Linked DNA regions of Caenorhabditis elegans. The protein of the gene in region 1 purifies or fractionates together with the protein of each later gene. This does not show direct contact. Each region holds a gene or a part of one and is shown in the gene's direction. Other genes may lie near its edges.

Region 1 (6,378 bases):
GAGCAACGCGAACAAATCATCAATGTAAATTTCAGCGGATTCGTTACGACGTGTCTCACCACATCGTTAGTAGGATTTCAGAACACATTAAGTAGAAATCAAGAGACGCGGAATAGTGAAATGAAAATGCGACGTTTACCTTTCTGAGAAGGACGGTTACACCGGATGTACGCGTCGACGCTTTAATCTAATAAGGATAAGGTTCAATGCATGAAAAGGTGTTTACATTTGAAACCTTCTATTTCGGTTAAAAGAACTCGAATGAAATATTGCATCAGAAAATCTATAGTTTAGAAAATGCGTTTATTTTTAGAATAGGACAATTTTACAAGCAAGAGTCATAAATTAATACAAAAATTACAGAAATGTCAAAAAATAACGATATTCACAACCATTCGGATAGAAATTAAAGAGACAATCAAAAGGGTCATTTATTGTAGTTGCTTGATCTCTTTTCCTGTTTTCTTCAGAGCTTCAAGTACATCAGATGCTGGTAAATCAGTTGTAACTGTGATTTTCTTGGTTTCCACGTTAATATCGTCAATTTTGATTTTGTCTTCTGTAGAATAATAGGATTAATTTGATTAACAAAAAGTAAACCAAACCTCCAAGCTTTCCTAGAACTTTTCGCGCAGCATTTGCACAGCCATTGCATGTCATGCCCATTTCGAAAACGTACTGAAAATGTTCAAATTATTTTTTTTTTCACAAATATGAGAATATTTAATTGTAATTTGTAAAAAGTTAAATAATTTACCTGTGTCATGATATTTGTTGAGTCAGAAATCTGGAAACTCTGCTTCTGCTTGCCTGAAAAACGTTAATTTGAATGATTGGAATTAGTACAGTCGAAAAGAAATGAACAAAGAGACGCAAAATGGAGAGACAGTGATAGGGCGACTCGTGGTCAATGCTTTATCTCTGAGAATTTGCATCATTCGACATTTTTTGATCAAGTTTTCAAGAAACTGCGATAATTAAAAAAGGAACTATTGAGATGGGACAACTCGAATGGTTTAAGCAACTTTTAAATGTTTTCCAGTTTTTTTTTTTACTTTTTGGAAAAATTTATGGAAAAATGAGAAAGAAGCTTAGAAACAGGATAAAGACACCAAATGACGTCACAGCTTTGCATTAATGCATCTTCTCTATTTTCTCGGCGTCTCACTCATCTTCTACTTTGAAACGAGCGTTTTTATGGGGTGAGAAAATTATCGATTTTAAGGGTGATCAGTTAAAGAGAAAAATAAAGACGATAACATTTTGATGGAGCCTGTTAAATGTTGTGAATTGGAAGAAATAGAGCCTTATATAAAGAACTGTTTTATCATCTACAGTAGTCCGAAAGCCATTTAGCAGGATATTCGAGGCTGAAGAGAAGTTAACTATATTTAGATAGCATAACTTATTAAAACTCAAAAAGTACAAGGACATTGAAAAAGCGGAAAATACAAATACTCAGTTTAAATTAACTAAAAAACCAAAACCCACATCTTTTTCATGCATGATGCATGGGTATGATTAATTTTATGTCGTCAAGTATGGTGTCGCATACGCAGTCTGCAGTATGTCGTATTATCTGATGCTAGCGCAACTTTCGAAAATTCAAGGTTCTTTTTTCATTTTTATGGAGGATTTCGCAGCGTTTTAACCTTTTTAAATGTGTTTTGTTGAGTTTATGTTTATTAAAACAACTTTGTCACTATTAGAAAATAGATACATCTTTCCATCTCACTGAAAAAACCGTCAGATGGGTTTTAAACTTCTTAAATTGTTCAAACATAACAATTGTGATTCGGAAACGCTTTGAATGTATTTTTATTGCTTAAATTACTTGTGTCCTTCACTATTTTCGATATCCCTCGTTTCAAAATATATTATTTAAAAATATTTCAGAAATGTCCGCAGTTCAACCAGTGAACCCAAAACCGTTCCTCAACAGTCTCACCGGAAAGTTTGTCGTTTGCAAACTGAAGTGGGGAATGGAGTACAAAGGTTTGTATTGACATAATGAAATATTTCACCAAAAGCGCCAAATGTTTAAGGTGTCCTTGTTGCTGTCGACTCCTACATGAATCTGCAGCTGGCTCACGCCGAGGAGTACATTGACGGAAACAGTCAAGGAAATCTCGGAGAGATTCTTATCCGGTTGGTGCATTTTTTAAAAGAAAAAATTCAAGCCGTAGAAACTAAAGTTATTACAATCTTATGCACATTTATATCGTAGTAAATCTTGAAAAATGTTCTAACTTTAGATGCAACAACGTTCTCTACGTGGGAGGCGTGGACGGAGAAAACGAGACGAGTGCCTAAATTCTTCAAACCCTTCTCAACAATTGATCTTATGTTCACAAGTTTTCTGTCTTTTTCGCACATTCTTAATCAATAAATTATAATTATCTTATTAAAGAAGTTTTTAAAATATTTATTAAATGAAAAAAAAAATCATCAGCAAATTATGTAAATTATCAAAGACACAGCGAATCCTCTTTCACCAACGTGGCGCTCATTTCATTTTTGACATCTACTTCTTCAACAACTACAATACCATTCTCAATTGTCTTCAGCTTCTCTTTCTCATTCATCTCCTGATCATCCTCAACTTTAGCCCAATCTTGTAATTCTCCTGATCCGAATAACAAGAATATTGAACCAGAGAAAATATGTGCCAGTGAGCATCCTATGAAGATATTCTGCCACTCCGCAGCGGTTCCCTAAGAATATGGATAGCAAGTAGATTTGTCAAAAATCTCTAAAATAGCTTACGTCTTTTCTGAACATGCTCATGACTGCAGGAGTTGTCAATCTACCAATCATTGCAACAAACATTGAAATTGCAGACATGGTTGCAGTATATTGTGGTGCCAAACTGAGTAGTGATGTGTAAAATCCACTCACAAATGTTCCCATTGAGCTATACCTGAAGACTTTAAATTTGGAAAAGTCGCTGAAAAGTATCGAAACTCACATTAAACAGAAGAAAATAAGGCCAGTTGTTGGATTAGAGCAATCGACAAAGAATGCAAGTAAAATAAGTGAGAAGGAACTCCCAAAACTTGCTGAAATAAATACTATTTCTGGAAACTTGCAAAAATCAACTGACCAACACCATGTGATACCTTTACAGCTTTAGTATTACTGAGAATCTTATTTTCTTTTAATTTATCTATTCCAATACCCCAAACAACTTTGAATATCATATTGAAGATGTTGGGAATTGCAGTAAATGTACCATTCTGAAATGATTACAAATAAAAAATAATATTGAAATGTTGAGTGTCTTACAGCAATAACGCCCAAATGTAGAACTTCTTTGAAATATGAAGGCAAGTAAATTTGAAATAGTGTCATGAAAAGATTGACAAAGAAATGACATTGAAGTTGACCAAGAAATGCAGGAGAAGTTAGAATTTTAGAGTATGGAATCGAACGGGTTTTCTGAAAGTTTCAGAATAACATGATATGATTTTTATTCTAAAACTAGAGTGCTAAAACGTTTTCCTGTATGAGAAGATACTTTAATTTTTTTATTTTGTATTTTGTCTCGAAGTTATTTGGATTTCGAATTATTTACTACGGTAAGTACATTCCCAAAAAAATTTGTTACTCACTTCGGACTTGTGCACTTTCTTTACCACATTTGCCAATAAGTACTCTTTCTCCTTCTTTGTCATCATTTTTACTTTTGCCGGATGACTAGATGCTGTGAAGAACCAGAGAATCGACCATCCAGTAGCAAATATTCCTGGAAATAATTTAATATAATATGAAATCCAGGAAAAGTTGTCTGAATAAAAGTTTGAAGATTATTTAGGTAGAAAAATCCCGACAAAACTTAAGTTTTCAATTCCCTACACATACCAGCAAAATAAAAAGTAGCTGGCCATCCCAAATCAGATGCACAAACCGCTGCTACCATAGGACTTCCTGCAGCTGATGCAATTTGATTACCTAATGTAAAAATTGATAAAGCTGTGCTCTTTTCTGAGCTGGGAAACCAATTCCCAATAATTGCATTGTTCGTAGGAAATACAAAACCCTGGAACTTTCATAAGTATTTATTCTGCAACTGATCACATTGTACCTCTCCTAACCCCATTCCAATTCTTGCCAGGAAAACTGAAAAATATCCGAAATGTGTCGCCAAAAAAGGAGTTATTACGGTAACCAAAATGTAAAGGGCTACAGAAATTTGAAGTACGTGACGTGGAGAAAAGCGCTCAATGAAGAACATTGAAGGGAGTACTGTAATAAGTGATCCCCAAAATGTTCCAGAAAATATAAGATTTTGTTCGTAGCTGTTCCATACCAATTCACCCTGAAATTAGAATATACCAGATTCAAATAAGTAAAACAATTGTACCCCATAATCAACAACAACTTTCTTTTGCCCATCTTCATCCATCAAACCACATTGACCATTAGATCCCAAATTAATCTGAAAACAATACATACAAAATAAATCTGAATTCGTTTCACAAACCTCCTCTATAATAGAAATTTCAGAGACATTTGAATTTCCGGCCAATTTAATTTCATTTTCCACTGCTAAAGCAGTAGAATTAACCATACAAGTCATTGTCAGTGCAAAATGAATTCTCATAAAAGTTGTGCAGAAAAATCCGATCTGGAAAGAAAAAGTTACCAAAATTTTTGGCATATTGGTAAAAGTAATACTCACCATACATAGTAGAACAATATGAAGCCGCCGGGAAAATGGGTGAAATAAAGCTAAAATTGGGTAAAAGGTTTTTGAAGGAAGCATACAATGATTACATACAACTCGGAAGAGTTGTCAATTCATTGGGATATTTGATTGTCGAATTCGACGGGAATAAACTGCTTAATTTTAAAATCAGTTGGAAAAATTTTAGAAAAATTCTCACGAAGGACATTCCTCTTTTCAAAAAACGATCGAATTATGGCAGAAAATACAACTTACGGAATTTTTTTGCCATTTTGAAATGAGATTATAGAATTTATACGAATATTGAGATCAATAGGTTTATAAAAACTTTTTTACGAAATATATAAAATTTTCAACAAAAAACGAGTCAGTCACAACTTTCTCTGACCTGAAACACTCATTCTTCATAAATTCTTCAAATTGATTGTGCTCTTTGTGAGTAAATTCATCATTTTTTGATTATTTAAGAAACTAACGATTATTGTCAATGTAGTTTAAGAAATTTCAGTTCAAATGATAAGAAAATGATTTTTTCAGGTGGCTTGGATGTAGTCGTGTTTTATTATTTTTAAAGATTTTCTTGTATCTTTTGCAGAACAGTTTATTCTGAACCTTAAAAAATCGGGATGTACCTCCTCGTCCTTTCAATTTGTGTAAATCATCGAATGGTTGTAGTGAACAAGTCGATTTTTTCAATTCTCATTTTCTTATCAGCGATCTTTGAACAATGACATGATCAATTCCAAAAGCAGAAACTCTGTCCCGAAAGGAAAACTGAATTGCTTTTTATGATGAGCATTTGTGAACTACTCATGTTATGTAAAGAACGTTGAAAGATATATAATAACTCCCTATATTGTGATCTTTCACAGATGCTGGGAACGGATGGTAGTACCACAAAGATGTGATCGCATAATCGTATGGCCAATTCCACCAATGAATCTTGCATTCAACAGTATTATTCCTGATGATAAACTGACTTTCCACATTGGATTGTTAGAGTTGAAATATACCCATCAAAAAGAGATCGTAAAGAAGTGTGATTTACCAGGATAATTAATCTTGTTTGAAATTAATTTATTGAAAAATAAAGTATGTCGTTCATTGATTCTTGCCGTTTCAACAAAGTACGTAAGCGCACATAGTTTTATAGTTTCATGGTTTCATAATTTCAGCTACATTTCTAGAGCAAACACTTTCCAAAATATTATTGCACACCGTGGGGAACGGCGGAGAAGTGTCTAGATTTTTTGAGGGAAAAAATTTCTTCATACCACAGTAAAAATTAGTTTTTTGCTAATATTTTTTGTGTTTTTTTTTCAAAAATTTCACTCAATAGTTGCCGAAATATCGAATTTCCGATAATTTTCGATCAGCCCTACCCATGCTAGGCATTTCAAATGTTTTTTGAAATACCAATTTTAAAAAGTACAAAAAAACTTTCATGTATATTTTTGATCGATTTCTGGTTCCAGCTTCCACTAGTGTTAATTTCATATCGTCTCTCAGTTTCCAACAAGACCATAAAATTGAGCATCAAGTTACTAAAAGTTGAAATGTGATACTTATCAATTGAACTGAATCAATACATAAACAGTTAATAAACAATGAAAATAATAAACAATTGGAAGCGACACCCACTCAATTCATTCAAACTTATTAGCTGAATACTTTTATTTTTTTTAGAAAAA
Region 2 (7,591 bases), on another chromosome or scaffold:
ATACTTTTCCTTATTCGTCTTTAAAATCTCCGTCTGATTATACGATTTCTCTTTTTCTGTGGATAATTCCAGAGCGGCATCTTCTATAGCTTTTCGAATAGCATCTCGTTTCCTTCGCAGTGCTTCTAGTTCACTTTTTCTCTGCGTTGTCTCCTTGTGAGCCGACTGTTTTTGTAGAAGCTGATGGCCGAGTTCTTGAGATTCGATAGCTGTCTGGAACTTTTTTGGGTAATTTGCATATAGATTAAACGCGTATTACCTTCTGATTAGTCTCTTGTAATTCTTTAATTCTCGCGACTTTCTCGTCTCTCGTAGATCTCATTCTCTCAATAAATCCAGTCACTTCTGCTACTGCTTCTTTGGCTTTTCCAATGTCCACTTCAACATCGATAACCTTCTCATCAAGTGCTTGTAATTGAAATTGCAGCGTTTTTTCTCGTTGCTGACGTTGTGCAAGACGCTCGTTCTCTTGTTGCTTCTGGTTCTGAAATTAGGGATTTAAATTTGGTTTTTTTTTATCATGAGTAAATAAAATTTCTGTGTTCCAAAAGTTCAATTTTCAAAAGAAAAACTCAAAAAATCGCCTAGAATCCACATAAAAATTCCATTTTTTCTGTTCAGGCATCTGTACCTGCATCTGTTTAACTTTCGCCTTCTCCATTTGAACTTTTCTCATTTTCTCGTCCTCCTCTCTGCGTCTCTCCATCTCTAGCCTCCGCTTCTTCTCCTCTTCCTCCCGTTGAGCTTCAATTATTCTCTGTCTTTCTAGTTCAGCTTGCCGCTCAACTTCAGCCTGTCGTTCCTTTTCTTGTCTTTCTCTATTTTTCTTCGCTTCTTCTTCTCTCTCTTTCTTCTCTACTTCTGCTCGTCTTCGTTGCTCCTCTTCTTCAAGAACTCTACGTCGTCTCTCCAGTTCTGCCTGACCTTTAGATAGGTTATCCTGTCGCTTATCTTCAAAAGTTTTCGGAGCTGGTGACTTTTGTGGTGGCTCCGCTCCTGGTTCGAGTTCAGGGGTATTGTTGGCTGATCTTGATGAGATTCCGCACATCCGGACAAGTTCCAGCGGGGTTATTTTTGGAAGCGCGAATCCACTCTGAAAAAAAAATTTTTTTAAGTTTTTCAGCGGAAATTTTTATGGTGTTTCATGATTTTAGGGTATTTTCCGATTTTCGTACAGAAAAATTTGAAATTTTGAGATTTTTCAGCGTTTTAACATGAAATTTTGCTGAAAAAAACAAGCAAAACGTTGAAAAATCCTGTAAAATTCACTGAAAAACTATAATTCGTGAAGAAAATACAACCGTGCGGCAGTGTTGCGAAAACTCGCGCCGCATGTTGCAAAGTGGGAGGAGCGTCCACGTGGCTTGACTTTTTATTTTGAAATTCCAAGTTTTTGACAAATAAAATTGAAAATATTCCTTATTTTTGTTGAAAAAACATGAAAAATACAATATTTTCAGATGGAAAGAACCTTTTTCTACATTTTTATATCAATTTTAGATCAGAAAAGTTGGATTTTCATGGAAAAAGTGCAATTTTTGAATAAAGAGCTTCTGGCCGGTAACAAAACACATACTTTGAACATTTCAATCATATACTGAGAAATCGCATACTCATCCACTGATAGCTTTCCATCCTTATTCACATCTGACAAAAACCAGATATGCGCGAGAACATTGGTAGGAAGGCCTGAAAGCCCGAGAGCACTCCGTCCGACTTGTGAGCTCAGGGAGCCCAGACGTTCCTTGTCGAGAGCATTAAACAATTGAGAATATTTTAATTTATTGTGGTGAGGAATCGCCCAGTTTTCCAGCTGCCGGCCTTCGAAGACATTGCGATCATTATTCAAAGGGCTTCCAGCTGAAATCGAGTTGTGTCTGCTAGATGGAGTTCCGGCAATCGAAACCGGTGCAGATGGGATGTATGACTGCGACATTCGACGATCAATGGCCGGTGGAAGAGTTTGTGAGTAGTCTACACTGCCATGCCGGCTTCCAGGCCAGGTTGGTGGAGCATTTCTGGCGGGAACTACCAGCAGGGAAGGCGGAAGTTGCGGAGGAATCGGAATTCCGGCAAGACAATTCAGAGCAAGTCGCATCGCGATAGAGTATTCACGAATATCGAGCCGGCCGTCTTTATCCAAGTCTGACAGCGCCCAGATCTGGAAATTGTTTGAATAAAAACATTTTTTTTTTTAAAGTTTAATATCAACCTGAGAAAGCACTTGCGTTGGCAGATTGCTGCGCATTAGTGCATTTCGTGCAGTGACCGCATCCATAAACGGTTGTCCTCCGGTTAATTGGCCGAACATTGCGAAATTCTTCTGATATTCGGCATCGGAAACTTCCCAAGGATTTGTCATCTGGAGAACAGGGGATTTTTCGACAAAAAATGGGAATTTCGCAACAAAAAAGGGAAAAAACGAGCCATATTTTTCTAATTTAACTGGAAATTTATGCGAAGAATCAGCGAAAATGATGAAAAAACACATGTTTTTGGGCAAACAATAGATTTTTTTGAGCCGCTCCGCTCGCCAGCTGCGTCGCGGTCGTGGCCGTGGCCTAGGTTCCCTCTCGGCCATTTCTGTAAAAATTGGCCGCGGCGCGGCGCGGCCGGCGAGCGAGGCGGCTCAATAAAATGTAATTTTTTGGCTAAAATTCGTGATTTTTCCCTAATTTAGCTGGAAATTTCTATGTAAACTTCCCACGGATTTGTCAATTGGGGGTTTTTCGATTAAAAACGCTAAAAATGCGAATTTCGCAACAAAAAGAGAAAATGCGCCGAAATTTCTGTAAATTTGGATTCAGGAACTGAGAAATAAGAAGAAATAAGAAAGAGGCCAAGCGCCGCCGAAAGCTTATCGATTTTTGCGTGCCCCAAAAGAGGAGTGGTCCCCGAGAGCGCGCGGCGAGAGATGCAAGAGACGCAGAGAATTTTAAAGGAATCAAAAACCCCTTTTTTATATATTTAAAAAAATCAATGTTTTTTTTTTCATTTAAAACTTTGCATTTTAAGAACAAATTTTAGTTTTAGAGTGAAAAATCTCGTATTCTTGAGTTTTCTCCAAATAATTTTGAGCTCCAATTGATTTTTAAATGTTCTTTCAGCCTTGGTGCATGAATTAATCGGTATAATCGCGGAAAATTGAAGAGAAATTCACTTAAATTTCAACTTATTTATTAATCTCTGGTCATGGGAGAAAAAAAGAAAAATAGAGAAAACGCTAGAAAAACGCGCGCGCTCACCTTGCCGACGCTCGCCCCGCCCACAAAAGCGTGCCTCGTTGCGTTTTCGAATTTAGCAGGGCAGTTGGTTATTATTTCCATTTTCTATCTGTTTCAGGTTCGCAGTTTGTTTTTTGCATTGAATTCTTGATATTTTGAGTTTTACGTTGTATTCTGAAGTATTTCCGTCAGAATTTGTGTTTAAAAATCGTAATTCTCAGGGTTTTCCCGCTGAAATTGAATTTTTCGTCAAAAATCATTTTTTTTAGTGAATCCCAATGTCGTATGGTGACGGGCTCTCCGGAGCCGAGTACCTGGCCTCAATCTATGGTACTGAGAAGGATAAAGTCAATTGCTCGTTTTTCTTCAAGGTTTGTTGTGGATTTCTGTGAAAAAATTCAATAATTAAATAATTTTTGCAGACAGGAGCCTGCCGCCACGGAGACAAATGCTCCAGAGCCCATCATACACCGACATTCTCGCCAACAGTTGTGCTCAAAAACTTCTACCACAATCCGGTAGTGGATGTCCGTCAGGCGGATGCTTTCGATAAAGTCGGCAAGCGGAATGATCAGGAACAGCGCTATTTTGACGATTTCTACGAGGAGGTTTTTGTGGAGATGGAGCGAAAATATGGAGAAGTGGAGGAGATCAACGTTTGTGAGAATATCGGAGAACACATGGTCGGAAACGTATACGTCAAATTTATGAAGGAAGAGGACGCCGAGAAAGCAAAGAATGATTTGAATAATCGATGGTGCGTAAGCTGAAGCTGCTGTGTTGATAGGGCTCAAGCTGAGCTCAAGTGCTGTGAAGAGAACGTGCCACTGTACTTTGCCCATCGGAAGGGCATTGAAATGGAGATATACCTGGCACAGGGGCCATCTGAGCACTTTGGCGAGCTAGCCCGTATCATTTTTGCTAATTTAGCTGGAAATTTGTGCAAGAAATCTGCGAAAATGATGAGAAATCACAAATTCTGAGCCGCTCCCGTCGGCCATTTCGTTAAAATGGACCGCGACGCAGCTGGCGAGCGGGGCGGCTCAAAACATTTAATTTTTTGACCAGAAATCGTGATTTTCCATCTTTTTTCATGTCAACTGCAAAAATGATGGAAAAATCACTAAATCTGGGGCAAAATATAAATTTTTTTGAGCCGCTCCGCATGCCAGTTGCGTCGCGGTCATGGCCGAGGTTCCCTCTCGGCCACCTCTGTAAAATGGACCGCGACGCAGATGGTGAGCGGAGCGGCTCAAAATTTTTATTTTTTGCCCAGAAATCTTGATTTTCCATGTTTTTTTGCTAAATTAGCTGGAAATTTGCACCAAGAATCAGCGAAAATGATGAAAAAACACAAATTCTGGGGCAAAAAAGTATATTTTTTGTCCAGAAATCGTGATTTTTCCGTCTTTTTCCTGATTTAGCTGGAAATTTTTATGCTAAATGCAAAAATTATGAAAATTTTCTGTAAAATTATCGATTTTTAAAATATTTTTCGCTTTCAGGTTCAACGGACAACCAATCTACGCAGAGTTGTGCCCTGTCACCGACTTCCGCGAGTCTAGATGCCGTCAACACGAAGTTACAACCTGCTCGAAAGGAGGATTCTGCAATTTCATGCACTTGAAGGCAATTTCCGCCGAACTTGGAGATCGTCTGTATGGTAGACGTGGACGACGAGCCGACGCAGCTGGACATTATCCATCACAACGTGGAGGTTCCGGAGGCGGCGGTGGAGGTGGTGGCGGCGGTGGCTATGGAAGCGGTGGAGGATGGGGTGGCGGCGGTGGCGGCAGAGATCGTGATCGTGGAGGATGGGGTGGAGGCGGCGGAGGTCGTGGATATGGAGGTGGCGGTGGCGGTGGAGGCTACGGATATGGAGGTGGAGGCGGTGGAAGACGCCGCAGTCGAAGCCGTGATCGAAGACGATATTAATCTCTCTTGTTCTTTTTTTTTTACCTTTTTTCTTCTGTATCTTATCTCATATAATTCCAATAATTCTGCTCTTTTTTCTCTATCTCTCTCTTTTTTATTGCAAAAAAAACCATTTTTATTTCCTTCTTTTTGTAGTTTTTTCGCCAAAAAATGGTTCTGTTCAGCCATCTTTTTTACCTATTCATTTAATTTTCTACAAATCCACCTGCAAACTGCTCAGAAATCCCAGATGAACACGAATTTTCCACACAATCGGAAAAGAACGCTCTACGTCGGAGGTTTCACCGAGGATGTCACTGAAAAAGTGTTGATGGCCGCGTTCATTCCGTTTGGAGACGTCGTTGCCATCTCGATTCCGATGGATTACGAGTCGGGAAAGCATCGTGGCTTCGGATTCGTCGAATTCGATATGGCTGAGGATGCGGCGATGGCGATTGATAATATGAACGAGAGCGAGCTGTTCGGAAAGACTATTCGGTTAGGGATTGGCTCTGGAAACCAAGAAAATAGTCCTAAATAAAGTGGAATTCTTGCGTAGTCTACTACGTAAAGTGAAACTCCAGCGCAAATCGCAGTTTTTCGTAGTTTGACACCAGGAAATTTAAATTAATTTTCAATTTTAAACGTAGCAACGATGCTCCGAAATAACGCACGCGCATGTTATTTCGGAGCATCTTTTAAAATTAAGATTTAATTTTAATTTTGTTTTCAAAATTTTCCTAGTTTTCAGGTTTAATCTTTGTGATTTTTCATATTTTTTTAAAGATATTTTTACAAGTTTTTCAATAAAACCTGTGAAAAAAACATTTTTTATAATTTTAAAATTGCTATTTTCAGTGTCAACTTTGCTCGTCCACCAAAAGCCACCGAACGCTCACAGAAACCTGTCTGGGCAGACGACGAATGGCTCAAAAAGTATGGAAGAGGTGGAGAAGCTGCTGCGGAAGAAGACGGAGACGCTGAAAAAGCCGCCACGTCATCGTCGTCAGCCTCGACGAAGCTTCCACGTGTCTATCTGGGAGTGAAGATTGGAATTCGATATATTGGACGAATAGTGATCGAGTTAAGAACTGACGTTACACCGAAAACTGCCGAAAACTTCAGATGTTTGTGCACAGGAGAACGAGGATTCGGTTATGAAGGATCGATATTTCATCGGATTATTCCAAAATTTATGCTTCAAGGCGGTGACTTTACGAAAGGAGACGGAACCGGCGGGAAGTCGATCTATGGAACGAAATTTGATGATGAGAATTTCACGGTTAGGCACAAATTTTGATGAGCGGTATACTAGAAAAAATACTGTAAAAAATCGCATTTTCACAACGTTATTTGGTAATTATGCCAATAATTCGTGCTAAACATCAAATTTTCTGTAGAAAATGTGCCAAAATATGCGAAATTTTTGAAAAAATAACGAAACGAGATAAAAAATTTATTGATTTTTGGCAAAAAAAAAATCAATAGTTCTATTCAAATGCATCTCGTTTCAGAAGAAGAACGATCTGAAATTGTTCTCTATTTTATATCATGACACTACTACCAAAATTTATTTATCGATCCTTAAAATTTGCAAAAAATTTTGTTGCACAGAAAGTGGGACGGAGCTACGCAAAATTTTTCTCTTCTTTTCGAATTGGATAACATTTTCATTCGAAAAATCGAGAAAAATACAAGTAAAATTGAAATTATATTGCGGGGAAATACCTCATGCGGCAGTGTTGTGAAGCTACGCTCCGCCCCACTTTCTGTGCGACAAATTTTTTTGCAAAATTCAAGGATCGATAACCAAATTTACAGTACCTCTAGAAATTCCTGAAGAACTCCAAATTTGAATGGGGCCCATTGCAAAATTGTATTGTGCTTTGATAAAATAAAATCCAACGCTGCAATCTTCTCAAGAAAAGGGCTCGCCGGATCCATGGCTCTGAGGGCCTTTTCAATTGGGATAATATCAATGTCCGGAATTTCGGCTGTCAAGTTCTTGAGCGGATTAGTGTATCCTTTCAATGATTTAGCTCTCCACACATCAATTCTTGAAATATAAGCTTTTGCTTGACTTATTGCTGTCTCTAAGGAAGAAATATCTTCATGTCCCTTGACCTGACTAATCAGTGGCTCCAAGTCCACTAGACTATAGACACTTTGAACTACACTCTGAGATATGCCAATTTCATCGGTTTGATTCAACATCTGCGACATCTCATTCATTCTCAATGTCACCGGACTCGCAACTTCTCTCATTTTCTCTGGAATTGTTTTCACTGTAGAGAGTTCGTGTGAAAATTTGGATACCAATGGAGCAATCTGTTGAACATTTTGCAAATCTGCTCTCATAAACGCTTGAATCAATGGAACCATACGGATAACAGCTTCCGAGTTGTTTTTCAACTTTTTCAAGCAATTGTGAACTTCCAATTCGGAAGATATCT

Evidence for each region. Proteins that work in one complex are often made in the same cells at the same time.
Region 2: the proteins of snr-5 (region 1) and uaf-2 fractionate together in Caenorhabditis elegans (co-fractionation; one large-scale study listed by BioGRID). This does not show direct contact.

Annotation. Positions count from the first base shown.
Region 1 is NC_003281.10:7,860,174-7,866,551, forward strand, and holds snr-5 (putative small nuclear ribonucleoprotein F), read left to right. Parts: upstream 1-1,896; 5' UTR 1,897-1,898; coding exon 1,899-1,995; intron 1,996-2,045; coding exon 2,046-2,148; intron 2,149-2,255; coding exon 2,256-2,313; 3' UTR 2,314-2,401; downstream 2,402-6,378. Other genes in the region: cuc-1 (Copper transport protein ATOX1), read right to left, coding at 432-559, 606-678, 758-766; putative transporter slc-17.3, read right to left, coding at 2,469-2,714, 2,767-2,920, 2,969-3,059, 3,104-3,236, 3,286-3,438, 3,612-3,745, 3,862-4,039, 4,085-4,318 and 4 more.
Region 2 is NC_003282.8:17,114,455-17,122,045, reverse strand, and holds uaf-2 (Splicing factor U2AF 35 kDa subunit), read left to right. Parts: upstream 1-3,493; 5' UTR 3,494-3,502; coding exon 3,503-3,595; intron 3,596-3,646; coding exon 3,647-3,981; intron 3,982-4,025; exon of another isoform or gene 4,026-4,178; intron 4,179-4,729; coding exon 4,730-5,159; 3' UTR 5,160-5,275; downstream 5,276-7,591. Other genes in the region: itsn-1 (Intersectin-1), read right to left, coding at 1-219, 260-484, 632-1,093, 1,577-2,161, 2,213-2,362; Y116A8C.33 (uncharacterized protein), read right to left, coding at 6,629-6,664, 6,963-7,591; cyn-13 (Peptidyl-prolyl cis-trans isomerase E), read left to right, coding at 5,389-5,636, 5,997-6,420.